2 linked regions of the Astyanax mexicanus genome follow. The protein of the gene in region 1 interacts with the protein of each later gene in a pairwise test. Links are inferred from orthologs where the notes say so. Each region holds a gene or a part of one and is shown in the gene's direction. Other genes may lie near its edges.

Evidence for each region.
Region 2: the proteins of myotonin-protein kinase (region 1) and hspb2 interact in a two-hybrid assay, tested with the Homo sapiens proteins (2 studies listed by BioGRID). The link is inferred for Astyanax mexicanus from reciprocal best matches to the Homo sapiens genes DMPK and HSPB2.

Annotation. Positions count from the first base shown.
Region 1 is NC_064427.1:29,513,367-29,520,421, forward strand, and holds the start of myotonin-protein kinase, read left to right. Parts: upstream 1-4,034; 5' UTR 4,035-5,697; coding exon 5,698-5,896; intron 5,897-7,055. UniProt on the Homo sapiens protein: Non-receptor serine/threonine protein kinase which is necessary for the maintenance of skeletal muscle structure and function.
Region 2 is NC_064408.1:26,484,905-26,492,272, reverse strand, and holds the start of hspb2 (heat shock protein beta-2), read left to right. Parts: upstream 1-4,348; 5' UTR 4,349-4,501; coding exon 4,502-4,595; intron 4,596-7,368. Other genes in the region: cryabb (crystallin, alpha B, b), read right to left, coding at 1,066-1,269, 1,934-2,056, 2,937-3,128. UniProt on the Homo sapiens protein: May regulate the kinase DMPK.

The DNA of each region.
Region 1 (7,055 bases):
AATTTATAAGACTATTCCCTATTACTGTCAGTTTATACTGTGACAATTATCCATTAAAATTATTTATTATCAAGAAAGTTCCTAAAAGCTGTATATATTTTAACAACCTAAACCCCTTTAAACTAATGATGGTTTCTGGCTGTTTTGAGTTAGTTGCATTGTATCGCTTTGCATCTTGTTTACGTACTAGTAGTCCTTCGGGAGTAATAAAATCATGGGCATAAGATGTTAACCAATTACATTATTTACTCAGGTAAATTCCCCAACAATAGTCAGTTATACCTTACTACTAAAATCCTCCCCATTGACATTCCTCAACAATACAATTTCCCCAACAATGCTATTCCTTACAAACAAACTTCCACCGCAAGCTTCCTTATCACTGCAATTGCCTAACACTGCTATTCCACACAATGTTTCACATCCTTCCTTATCACTACAAGTCCCCAACAATGGTCAGTCATTACGTGTTCCTCAAAAAGGAATTCCCAAGCAGTGACATTCCTTACCAACACAATTCATCAAAAATGCTATTCCCAAATTTAGTTCCAGAGTATCATTTCTAGGACAATTCACCAACAGTTTCATTGTTTTATACAGTGTTTTTATTCTGTGGCTTTTCATAAAGCAGGATTTTCTCAGTAAAGCCTGGATAACCTAGTCTAAGACAATCCATGATTGAATTTTGGCTTATCTGTTATCAGAAAAACACAGTTTTGGAAAATAATCATCTGACACACTCCTATTCTACACTGTAAAAATGGTTTATCTGTTCATCCAAAACATATATGCATATATTAATAATAAAAACAGTAATTTGTGTTTATTTAACTGAAATTAATGCTACAAATAAAACATTACTAAATTTAAGGAAAGTATTTGTGTTGAATAAATCCAATTCAATTGCCTGTTACTACATGGTTCTACATGTTACTACAAGTCATATATTGTTAAGGTTGTTATTGTGTAGAAGGCCTTGGTAATACAGAGCATTATTCAGCAATAAACATGTAATGAATTTTACATTTAATGAAACTTTACACTTTAATGAAAACATATGTTTAGTTCCCAGAAAACAAACTATATGTGATTGTGTAAATGTAATGCACTCGTATTTAAAGTTATGTACTAAAACAACAACTGTGCTGTAATTAAGGTCCATTTTATTTTAAGTGTGTGTGTCTTTGTACTCACCTGTACTGGTTTATTCTCAGACTCCAGAAGCTCTGAAAGCAACTCTGTCAGTCCTGCTGCTGCTGTAGCACCTTTTATTCTGAAAACACTGTCAAACAGCCAAGCGTTATCCACAAGAGACTGCTGACCTCCAGCCAACACAGCCCAGCCAATGTCGTAATGCTTCTCAGCTTGTAGGCTATTGTTTCTCTCTTTCTATCTCTATCTGTCTCTCTCTCTCTCCCTCCCTCTCTACCCCTCCTTTCACACTCTGTCCCTGTTGATCCTATAAGCTCTCCGTCTCATGTAATTAAAGACTTCCAAATGACGCCACACCGAGACCAACGTACGCATCTCCTGCATAGATACTTAGTACCAACCCACAGTGAGGCAGGATAAGGATGCTAATTCCAGAAACCCAAACTTGGGCACTTGGCACTGGGCACTTGGCATTGGGCATCGCAGCTTTAGGCTAATGTTGGCCCATTGCTGCTCCAAAGTATTACTGTCTAATAAGCAATATTTTTCTATGGAGTTTATACAACCTATACAACATGCTTTTGTGAGGCTCACATTGTTGGAACATGGGCTAGGTGGGTTCCAGGTGGACATGGGCGCAGAGTTGGTTTGCGTATGTGACGTTACTGGGTACCAGTTGGGTTTCCCAAATTTGTCCACAGTCATGACAGCCCAGTTTAATTTTCCATGGGTCACTTCTAGGCCCCATGTGTAGAGTACAACTCAGAGGGGGGCCATTTTAACCCCTCCTTGTCCCATCTAAAACCCTGGTGGGACCCATCACTGACGTCCATATTTGCAACTGTAGACAAAATATTTTGGAAAGCTGCATTTTTTTTGCACAACCAAACTCCTTTAATCAGTAGTAGGTGCACTTTTAAGTTAGGAAATTAGTTTTTCCTTTAATTAATTATGTCAGAATAATTATCTAGGGATAGTCAGGATAAGTATCTAATTATCTGATCTGCATTATGAGGTAACTGCCTCAAATATATAAAGGGAAAACTTAAGCTTATTACCCTTTCTGCCCTGTAGATGGCATCAATACACCATTCAGGCAGCATATGATTCACTATTGTCTCCCCAAGCCAGGGGTTCAAGTTCAAGGGTGCTGGAAGTTATGGAGAACCTGAAAGGGCATAAGATATAAGATCATATCAAGATTAGTATCTCTGCACAAAAATATTTAATACATTTCCATTACACAACTAATTAAAGGGGACATATTTTACCTCTTTTTGCACAAGTTAGAATAGGTCTATGGACAAAACAGAACATTTTCATGAAGGTAAAATCACTCTTAAATAAAAATATCTCATCAGCTTTCTTGCCAGTTTTAGTCCTTTTTTATTCAGTTTTAGAGCTCTGTCACTTTTAAGCAAATAAGCTTACAGTAAATCGAAATGTAATCTTTTTTTTTATAGAAAATCTCATTAAAAGTTTTTTTAATTATTAAAAATACAAACTGATGTTGCCTAAATTAGAAATCCCATGTAACCTCTTATCCCGTGTAATTCAAGGTGGTTTAATGTTACCTTTACAAAATATATTACCTGTAAAAATATTAGATTAATGTAATCGCTTTCAGTGAGATTTGTTTAAAAAAAAAAAAACATAAAACAACAAAATCATAGTCTCCTTCAAAACAATGTTAAGTTGAGTGGAATCACTGCCAAAGGAATGCTTCATTGAGATTCATTTTCAGCGGACGTTAAAATGTCAACTTAGAATGTCAACAGAGACTTGGCTAGCAAAACTAAGGATTTCTGGATAGCTCCTATTCTCCAAAAATAAATGCCTTTTCAAAATACTATCTTTTAATATTCAGACATGCATGGTCAATAAAAGAGAACAGAAAGGTCACACATGAGCCTAAGGTCACCATACCGAATGGCAGGCATCAAATAGAATGTACTGCCCAGATGCCCAGCTGTATGCTTTGGTGTCTGTTGTTCACAATTTAACTTAGCTTAGCTTAATACAATGTCAGCTTAGCTTAATACAAGTTGTTTGAAATCACAGTTTGTTCTGTTAATGTCTGTATGTCTAGTCGCTAATAAAGTTGACAATATTTTCATTGAAGGAACCTTGATTACCTTATCAAAGTGTGCTACCACTCTGAGTGTTTTTACTACAAATTTTAAACTGATATTAATAAAAATATTATTTTTTATTCCTAAGAAAAATGGCAAATTGTATGTCAAAATATGTTTCTCCAGTCAGTAATGTTAAGATGTTTCTACAGTAAGAATAATAAGAGTAAGAATTTATTTCTTGAAAAAGTATTAAAAAAACATGTCAGTGTCACTGCAGTGCTGAGATCCACCACCCAAATAATACTGTTAGCGTCGGAGGCGATTCTATTGCTTGAAGCGAGCACGAAGCGGCATTAGCGACGCCGATATTGGAGCGCTGGTGTAGCCCAACAATCGCGTTGGGCTAGCGGTATTAGCTGCGCCGCCGACCTGGCCTGCTAGCTAGCGTTGGGCAAGCGGCATTAGCGACCCACCCACCGGGCTAGGAGCGCTGGGGTATTAGTGACTGGCTACCTAGCACTGGGCTAGCTACCTAAAGGCGCCACCCACCGGGCTTGGAGCATCTGTAACCCCACCGCATTTGTAACCCCACCGAACGGAGCGCCGGGGTAGCGGCATTAGTATTGCGCAAGCTTGCAGCATGACCAATGCCGACAAGGTTTAGAGCGTCAGGCTAGCGGTAATTTCGGCTCCGCTGGCCGGGCTTGGAGCATTAGGCAAGCGCCGTTAGTGACCCCGGGAACCAGCTACAACGCCGACTAGACAACAGGTAGTTAGCCTTCGTGCACCAGCAAGCTAAGGTCTAGCTGCCGAATCTAGCTTGGACAAATAAGCCATTTAATGTGAAAACCTACAGTTTCAGGTAGTTAGCTTGTTGCCTAATAAATTTAGCAACATTTATTGTGTATGTCCTACTGCATAGCTAGCTAACTAGCCACCATTATTGGTATAGGTTATTGTATTAGCGGTTTAATACTTGCCCATTCCCAAACAAATGGCTGATGTTTTCTAAACTAAATTCACTGCTGCACGGTGTCTCTAAAACCAACTTTATTAATATAGGAATGTATTTATTTATTAGATTTCTGGGCAAGAGTCTCATTAAATTTACTCAAATTTATCTGCAATGTGTCTACAAAATTGTGAACAAAATAAACAGACACAATATTGGGCTGTACATGTTAATTAGGTACGGTTTTGGGTAAGATCTCATTTTAATGAGCAAAGATTTCTGGGCACAAAAATCCTGTGAAATCTTTTGGACACTGCTGTGTCAGTGTCAGAATGAGAATTATCCACCACCTCTATAATACCTGCTTGGTGGTGGTCCTGACAATTGAAAAACTAAGAACAGTGTAAAAAGAGGCTAAAAAGTATTCATAGAAACAGATTACAAACCTACAGTCTGCAATAAGTAAATATTTGCTTTTTATAGTCTGCCCTATCATTCTCCTTTACATGTCCGTTGTCTAAACACCAAAGTATTGTCAACCAATCAAATGCAAACATCATCAGATGTGATGTAAAATGATTCAGAGTCATAGAAGAGCCCAACCACGATGCTTCCTGATCTAGAGGGGTGAAAAAGAGAAAGAGAATAAGCACAGAGAGAGTGCATGGAACTGGCAGCGAGTATTAATAAACAGAGGAAAGCTAGAGGAGGGGTGAGGAGGCAATGTGCTGTAGAAAAGTACAACAGAGGGAGGGCAACAAGTAGAGAGGAAAGAGAGAGAGTTCCACCCTCGGAGAGAGAATCAAGCACAGCAGCTGTTGCTGGTCAGGACAGAGCCTCCACACAGAGGAAACACATGGACCGGGGTTGAGGACACTGATGAAGGAGGGATGGGATGAAGTGGGCGTCTGGATCGGAAAGTGGTCTCCAGGCTTTGGGGTCTCCTCAGAATTTGTATGGACCCCTGTACTTCAGCTGGGAAAGTGTGAGAGGTTAGTAAGTTAGGCAGCCGTACCGAAAGAGGAACTGAGACAAATCAGGAACTGAAGAGCTGGTTAGTGTATTACAATAGCAGCACCTGAAAGAGAGAGGAAGGTGGAGAGAGAATAGAGAACACTAGAGAAAGCCACAGAGAGAGAGAGAGCGAGGGAGAGTAAGAGAGAGAGAGGGAGACACACCAAAAAAGGGCTTGAGCCAGCACTGGAATCACTGCTTGCTTGACAAACTCACAGACACGGGGTGAGAAGAATAAGGCGAGAACGAGAGAGAGAGACAGAAACAGAGAAACACGCAGACTGATTTGTGAGGGGCATTAAAACCTTAAGCATCTGTGGGACAGCAGAGGACAGGGTGCACTCAGGCCTATGTAAGTGTGTGTATTAGAGTGTGTGTTACAGTTAGGGTTAGTGTAGGGTTAGATTTATGGTCAGTGGGAACAGGAACAGACACTATTTCTTCAGGGGTTAATATGGATCAGAGCTGGGGCTGAACGCAGCTCCTCAGCTGTGCTCTGCCACCATGTCATCGGGCCCAGGGCCCCGAGAGGCCCCTGTGCCAAGGGAGAAGGTGCTGAGGGAGTCTGGAGGTGCTGGGGAGGGTGGGGCCTCGGGCCCGGTAGGCCTACAGACACTACTGGACCTGTTGGTGGGCGTCTACCAGGAATTCCAGTCTTCCAGCCCATCCAGAGAAAAATACATCAGCCGCTTCCTACAGTGGGGTCAGTGCCATTCCTTCTTATCTCATATTCCTTCTGTGAGGGTGTGTGTGTTCTGTGTGTATGTATACCTCTATTCCAAATCTGCCAATGCTGACAATGATTTTTTATATTACCAATAGGCTAAAAAGTTACGTAGTGGGCCAGGAGGGGGGGCAAATCTGGGACCCCAGACTGTTGTGGGCCTAGTTTAGCAAAGCACTGATGAAGGGAGGTGCCTACCTGATGACAACTGTGATGAGCTTGCGGCATAATGGATGATAAGTGTATGGATGAAAGGATGGTTAGGTGTTTTGTGTTAGTATTAAATGTTGTGGATTGGATCAGGTGGAGGGTCTTGTTATTGTCATGTAGTTATAGATAAGCGATTGGCAGTATAGAGTATTGGGTAAAGGAATGAACCCTATGTAGAACTCCAGTAGTTAGGTGCAGGATTTATCATCTTCCTGTACTATCCTGTACTGTTTACTAGCTTTAAATAATTGCTGAAAAGGTGATTTAGGAGATAGATGACTTAGAAATGATGAGCAGAACTGTAAACAAAAAAAATGAAAACTAAACATTAAACATCCCAAAACCTGCATCATGGAGCAATATAATATTAAATATTGTTGTAATCATTCTATATATAAAAATATATAGCTATACTGTCTAAAATGTTTTAAAGTATTTAAAGTATTGCATTTTAATAATTTGATATTTGGTTCTTGGTAATGTCACACATTTTATACAGAGATTTCACTCTTCATTAATATATAAATATACAAACTTAGTTGAAAAAACAGCCTATTTTGAATTAATTGTTTTTGTGATCCCACAAAGGACACATAGCACTAAGAGGGCAAAGGTTAGCACACACCTCCTAACTCAGGATTCAAACTGGTGATCTCAGATCATTTTGGCAGCATCTGGACCACTTTAAATCAGTTACTCCCTTTTAAATATCAAGATAAGATCATTAATAAAACATAAATTAAATAAAACCCATATAGGCGCAGTGATGTTAATGTGCCATCCTCGTTAGTAAACACCATGGGCAATATCGATGTCAACTGAAATTATAGAGCTTATGTCCATATATTTTGCGATAAGACTATAACATAATTATTGTGACAGGCCTATACTGAAGTCATACAGAGTGTTTCAACACAAACTGTCATTA
Region 2 (7,368 bases), on another chromosome or scaffold:
TTAACTAATTATAATCTCTTCCACCAAATTCCCACATCCCCATTTTTTTTCTATCTGCACTCCAAGGTCTATTGCTCCAAACCCTGACTGCATTTCTCAGCTGTAGGCTGTATAAGAAGAGCCCTTCACTTATGACAGGCTTTTATGACAAAGTGGCTGAGAAATGGAGCCAATCTAGACTTTGGAACGCAGCTTTTCAATATCAAACCAAACCTCATCATATTTGATTCACTGCTCCATTTATAACAAGATGTTTCCAGACGCCATATATCAATCCATCCAAACCAATGAAAAGTCATGTCTACAGAATCCCACAGAAACTACCAAAAAAAAGAGGTCACTTTCTTTCTATAACATTTCTCCTCACCTTGTTGCTACCTGCACTTGATCTTCATGTATCATCTGGTCCCAAGTCCATCATGAAAAGGAAGTACCAAATTACGAAACATACTCATTTTTCCTCGGCACACCACCTCCCACTTCACATGAAACGTTTGAAACCAAACAAACAACATTTTTTACCTCAGTGAAAATTCCCTCACAGTGTTCTTCCTCGTAGGCTAATTTCTTTTCACCGCTTGATCACAAAAATGCTCAAACATCCAGTCTTCCTACACTCAATCCCTCACCATTCTCTACTCCGTGCCACCATTGTTTGCCACTGACTGGCTGTAAAAGACAAAGAGCACTTTTGTTTGGCGTGGTTGTGGTTGGGATTGCTGAAGCAAAATGTGTTTTGCGTCCAGCGGCTGAGCGGCACAAACAATACTCCTGTGGTGTAATGATGTACATATCTCTGAGGACACGGTTTTGATGTGCCAACCGAATTAGACAATTCAGTGATCACTATTTAGCACAGAAACATGTGCTAGAACAGTTACTAGCTAGCTCAGAAATGAGCCCTTTGATTAGGACTAGCCTCTGGAAAGGCCAAGCCTCTAGAAGGTTCAGCTCAATGCTAGCACTGGCTTTTCCTCAAAGCTTGACTTGGGATGTGAAGGTGGAAGATAAGTGCAGGGGGACCACAGCGGAGGGGAGACAGAAAGGAGCAAGTATCTAGCAGCTTTACTTTTTCTGTGAGCCAGAGATAGCAGGCTTTTCTTCTCGAGTGATGGGAATGGAGCGCTCAGGCTCATCGGAGAGCTTGCGAGGGGCTGCAACCATGAGGATGCCATCTGAAGAGAGTGAAGAGGTGATACTGGCTGGGTCGACCCCGAGAGGGAGCCGGTATTTTCGTAGGAACTCTCGTGAGACAAACCCATGGTCATCCTGGAGAAAAAGATATACATTTACAGGCATTAAACAATGAATACTGACTGAAATATGATATTAGAGCAGTGTTAGCCAGACAAAACGCTTACATCAGAAGGTCAATGCTTGTAATAAGAGTGGACCAACTTGACAAAAAGGTTTGTTGGAGAAAAATTGAGAAAAATACCCCTTCCTATACGTAATAATTACAATATTAACTTATCGTATAATGTATGGACATCTGTTTTTGTTTTATTTATGTTTTATTTATTCAAGATATTCTAATTTCATTTCTATTGTCTGAATCATTAACAATTTATTGTTCTTTAAATGGGTTTAATTGCATTATTGTGCTATTCTATCATTATTCTAATCAGTGACATAAAATAGTCATAGAATTACAATAATATTGTTAATTGCACTTCATGGGACAGTATGTTGTCTAATAAAATCTCTTATCTTGACAGGCATACTTTTTTTATGTTTTTCTTGTTTAACCATATTCGATCAATCTAAACTGGTCTAAAATCTATTTAAATTATATTCAATGAATTACATCAAAATAATTAAATTGAATTAAATCTAATTAATTAAATCCAATTAAGTTAAAATTATTAACCAAATTCTGCAAGACAGGGGTACTCCATAACCAGAGTTAGAAACCACTGCTGTTTGTATTTACCTGACGATCCTCGTGTTTAGCATGAACCTCAATGTAACCGCCGTTGACCTTAACTGCCAATTCCTCAGGTGCAAAGTGTTTTACATCCAAATTGATGGTAAAACGGTCCTTTTCCATTTTCATCTATAAAAGACAGCACAAAACATGAATGTGTTTTGATTTCCAGTATTCAGTTTTATGTAGCTTAAGTGCTCCCTTCCAATTTTAAAACACAGTTTACATAATCATGATTACATGATTTGCTAGAAATAACAAGACATTGTTTAGAACTTAACATTATAATATTGTATGGCAGGGTTATTCTGTATGTGGACTACTGTTGTTTTTATTGTGGATATAGTACAAAATAAAAAAATATATAAACTTTTTGTATGCAAAAAACTGTTATCTGTTTTCTTTTCTTGCTCTTTAGTGACAGAGATGGAAAGGACTTCTATTACAGGGAAATCACTGAGCCTTCCAGCAGCAACATGTGCTCATCACCAAACATATTGATAAAATGGCATCTTTAAAATTGCTTCTTGCAAGGAAAAGTTGACAATGAACACCCTTTAAACTTGCCTGAGAAAAGCACAAAATAATTGTGCTTAATTTATTGTAATCAAGGCCACTGTAAGAGGAGTAATATGAGGTGACAACAAAACTACTCACAGAACACACATTTATATTGCTCATTTGTCCTGCATGGTCCTTCAGAGCAGTGGGAATGTTGTAAGATACACATTTTAATTTTCCTGTTGTAGGGTTTCTTAAGCTGTCTTCTAGATTAATGGTAATTCACCTCCAGGCAGGGAGCTCAGAATCCACAAAAGCAACCTTCTCAAATAACTTTTCCTTATTAGTCCCTGTGTCATTTATTAAGAGAACACCACTGGCAACACCGTTCTCCAGTATGGGGTTCTCCAGCCGAGGTTACCCTTTTGCCGTACATTACGTAGATTTATAGAGTTATAGAGTTATAGAATGTACCATGGAGAAATACACAGATGTCAGAGCTGCTTACCTCTGATAGCCCACTTTCCACCCAACTAGGTAAGCGGAAGAAAGAGGGTCGTGGGTAATACAATGAGGGGTAGGGGGTCAACATCTCACTCTCTGGGATATGCTCCCCGAAATGCTGGTCGAAGATCCGGCTGGGGAAGAAGGATGGCCAGAAAGAGCGGCGGAACCAGGGATGCTGGATGGCGACGTCCATTTCGTCTTCTGACCTAAGGCTAGCGTTGTCCTCCTGGAGAAAAACCTGTTGTCTGCCCAGCCTGCCCACTTATATACACCACCAGTAGCAGTCACAGAGCCAGGCCCAGCCAGCTGCGGATCTTTCTGGAACAATGATGTAAACTGTTTGATGGCCCCCCTTTCGTTGCGTCCCTCCCACTCTCCTCTGCAAGCTGTCTCATCCCTCTCTACCAGATACCTCTCTCCGTATTTATCTAAACCGGTGGTGTGATTTCATTCAGGCAGATGCCGGCCGGATTACAGGGCTTGCTCTGAATACCCATTTGGAAACTTTGCCATACAGAATCTAATGGGAGGTGCTGAGTGTAGCCTTTGGTTTTTTGGCTTTTCTGGCACAAAAACTGTGGACCAAGCAGCCTAGCTGTGTGCCAGAGCAGATTATCATGTTCATGTCCTGATTTGGCTTTATGTAGTTTGAGGTCTGAACCCCCTTTGAGGGTCTTTTGTCTTCGGCAGAACACCGGGCGCGAGGCCAGTTTGTTCGGTGGGCTGATGGTGAATGGTTGTGGGATCATTCTGCAGGGTTGAGCACCATACAGAGTCAATGTGCTTGCAAAGAAGCATTTCCCTGGTGCCCGCCAGCCTCAGCGGGCTTAGTCAAACTGGCACAAGCACCCGGCACAGTGCCACTTACGCAGTCGGCATAGCAGCACAGTCCGTCATCAGTCATCTCCTACCCACTCTGGCCTACCCACTCTCAGTGGCTGGTAATGATTGTGACCGGCAGTGTCTGGCTAGAATTGTCTATGTGTACATACACGCGTCTCTGGTAGAAACCCATTCAATGCAGGAGACCTACACACATATACTACAGGGCAGGGCAGGAGTCTTTAGCTTTCATGGTACATTAAACTAGTTATTGTTCCATGACTTATTGTATATTCTATTGAATATTATGCAGAATTCTAGATATGCACCGACATAACATTGACAGTACCCTTGGGTATTTAACTGACTTCCTGACCTTTTCACTTTTATGTGTATATGTGGCTGCCCCAAGTTGACAACTCATCCATTAACTCCAATGAGTCTCAGAACAGCTGCTAATTTACTTTCCTTTAGAAGAAAGCCAACCACTCTGAATAAAGAGACCCAAAACACTGCCCAGAATTATATCACTCAGTGTGTCTCCCCCTTTAGGCTATGCAACACCAGCGTGTGTGTGCGCCACAGGCTATTTCTGGACCCGTTTATTACCAAGGTCCAGGCACTAGGGCACAGACTTGCTGCCTCTCTTTTCTCTGTACTCTCCATTACAATCCTGCCTGTTTGTTGTACCTGAAAGGACTGCTACATTTTCACCAGCACTGGACACCCGGCCCATGCTTTAGCATGGCTGACCGCACCGTTCCCCATGCTTACCCCATGAGTATGAACTATGAGATGTGTACTCCTGCACGGATTTATGACCAGAACTTTGCAGAAGGTAAGAGAATCTTCAATCAAAAGTCAAGCTCACTTGTATTCAGATTGCTATGCTATTTGGAGGGAAGATAAAAGCTGCCAGCAACAATACATGATTGCAAATTAAGACGTGGATTAAGATGTGGGAAGTATTTATTGAGCTACACATATTGAAGTAGTGTGTAATGCATGTGTAATGTGTAAACAAGCCAGACGTCTCCTAACAGTCTCCTGCAATAAACTATTCCATGCAGCTTAAATTTTAACAATATTTCAACAAATTTTGCAGAAGAGGTGGAGTTTATAGCATGTTCAATAGAATTCCACACATTTTTAATCAAGGATAGGTCTGGTGTTGTGTTTTTTTTTTTTGGAAATCTCTTAAAATGGCAGTAGAATATGAATGAGCATTGTTCTGTTGAACCGCAGGGTGCATTCTGAAAAGGTATTGGCCACTGGTTGAAGGACGTTATTAATGTAACCCTGGGCATTTAAAACTGACTGTAGAGGTGTTCTGGTGACACCAGGCCCTATAGATGTGCAACACATGACAGCAAACTGTTGATCTTGGCACTTTCCACACATACGTTGGTTATCTCCATCCTTCAGCCTGTCACAACTACCCGCCAAATTTTCTTCCTGTCAGTTAATTCCTTCTGGGCGCAACTATGATAAGTGTCTTATAAATCCAGATAAATTGCTTCAAGGTGTTCTATCAATGGCATTATTTTTCATTCACAAGATATGGGCTACTCAATAATATCTTTAAACCAACAACAGCTGAAGAAAAAGTTTCTCTTTCATTTTGAATAAGAAAAAATTTTACTTTTTTAAACTGCATGAACTGCCCTACTTCTTCAACAGCAGACTTGTGATATCAGAGGATGAAGTTAACATGAGTTGTTTAATTGCCAATGAACCTGCACTAGAAGGGCCAACTGAAGTGATGACTGCCTGATCCACTATCCCCCATGACAGCTTTTTATACTGGAGGGAAATATAAGGCCCAGGCTAGGATTTATATTTAGAATACCACACATGACAAAGAGTCCAAGGCTACCACACAAAAATAACTGTCATCCACTGCTGGACTGAATATGAACCAATATCTCATATCCAGCACTGAGCAACCACAGTGTGTGTCATTAATGGTAGTATATATACATGAAGATAAGGGCGCAGTATATGATCAAAATAAAAACATGACGCTTGACCTGCGCTGCTGACACTGTTTGTAATTAGACCTGATGTAAGAGTTTCTGGTGTTTTATAGAGGGGAGGGACGTTCTATTTTTATGGTACTGTCAGGCAAACTCTATGAGGAAGTGAACTCAGTTAGTAGATTAACAAAAATCTAGATATGCACAATGATATCAGAAGAAGAATTATGTATTGCTTAAAACTGCTTTAAATGTTATGTCCACACCAGAGAGATGTTTAGACGTAACTGATATTTTAAAATTATATTGATCAGCATTTGAACAACTTAACTGCATTTGTAACACTACACAATTCAGTTGGGACAGTATACAGAATGCAAATAATAATAAAACACTGTGTTTCTTACATTTACAATTTTAATTGCATTACAATATGAACTGCTCAACTTCATTTCATGTATTAATGTACAGCTCTGGAAACAAATTAAGAGACAACTTCAGTTTTTTAAATCAGTTTCTCTGATTTTGCTATTAATAGGTTTATGTATGAGTAAAATGAACATTGTTTTATTCTATAAACTATGGACAACATTTCTCCCAAATTCCAATGAAAAATTATGTCATTTAGAGCATTTATTTGCAGAAAATGAGAAATGGCTGAAATAACAACAAAAATGCAGAGCTTTCAGACCTCAAATAATGCAAATAAAACAAGTTCATATTCAGAGTTTAGAAATCAATGTTTGGTGGAATAACCCTAGTTTTTTAATCACAGTTTTCATGCATCTTGGCATAACTTGGATAACTTTATGCCACTCCTGGTGCAAAAATTCAAGCAGTTCAGCTTGGTTTGATGGCTTCATCCATCTTTCTCTTGATTATATTCCAGAGGTTTTCAATTTGGTAAAATCAAAGAAACTCATCATTTTTAAGTGGTCTCATATTTTTTTCCAGAGCTGTACATCTATTTCTGTGTTTTAGTCCTGTAACACATTCCACAGAAGTTGCGACATTAAGACATTTACCGCTTTGCAACATTGCCATTCCTTCTCACAATATTTAAAAGACGTTTTGGCACTGGGCATAGCAAGCAATTAAATGGCATTATTTTGGTTAATTCTTGTTGCAACAATATCTTAAGACGTCTAACAGTAAATGGTCATCATTTTTGCATTTTTCTTTTAATTTTTTTTCTCACATTTTGTATTGTGGTCAAGGCAGTCCAGCACGATACCCTCTTATTCTGCACCCATGCCTTTGTTATGTGTGCAGCATAAGGTTTTGCATTGTCATGCAATGCATGGATGTCCCTTGGTATGTGTCGCAGGCCTGAAATGCAGGAATGGGTGTATATTAACAAATTAAATAAATATGACTACAGTGAAATAAATGCAAAGTAAAGAAAACTTTCTTGTTTTATAAGCATTTCCCATACTGTGAGAACTTTTGCCTGATCTGATGATGTAGTAGGAAAATCAGAATACTGTTCTGATTAGGGGTGTGACATATTGTATCGTAGACAATAATATTGCTAATATTTTTGAATATGGTGAACGATATTATACCCTGAAATATCATGCCATATTACCCACTCCTAATTATGACATCAAGGTGCTACTTTTTGCTGTTTTTAAC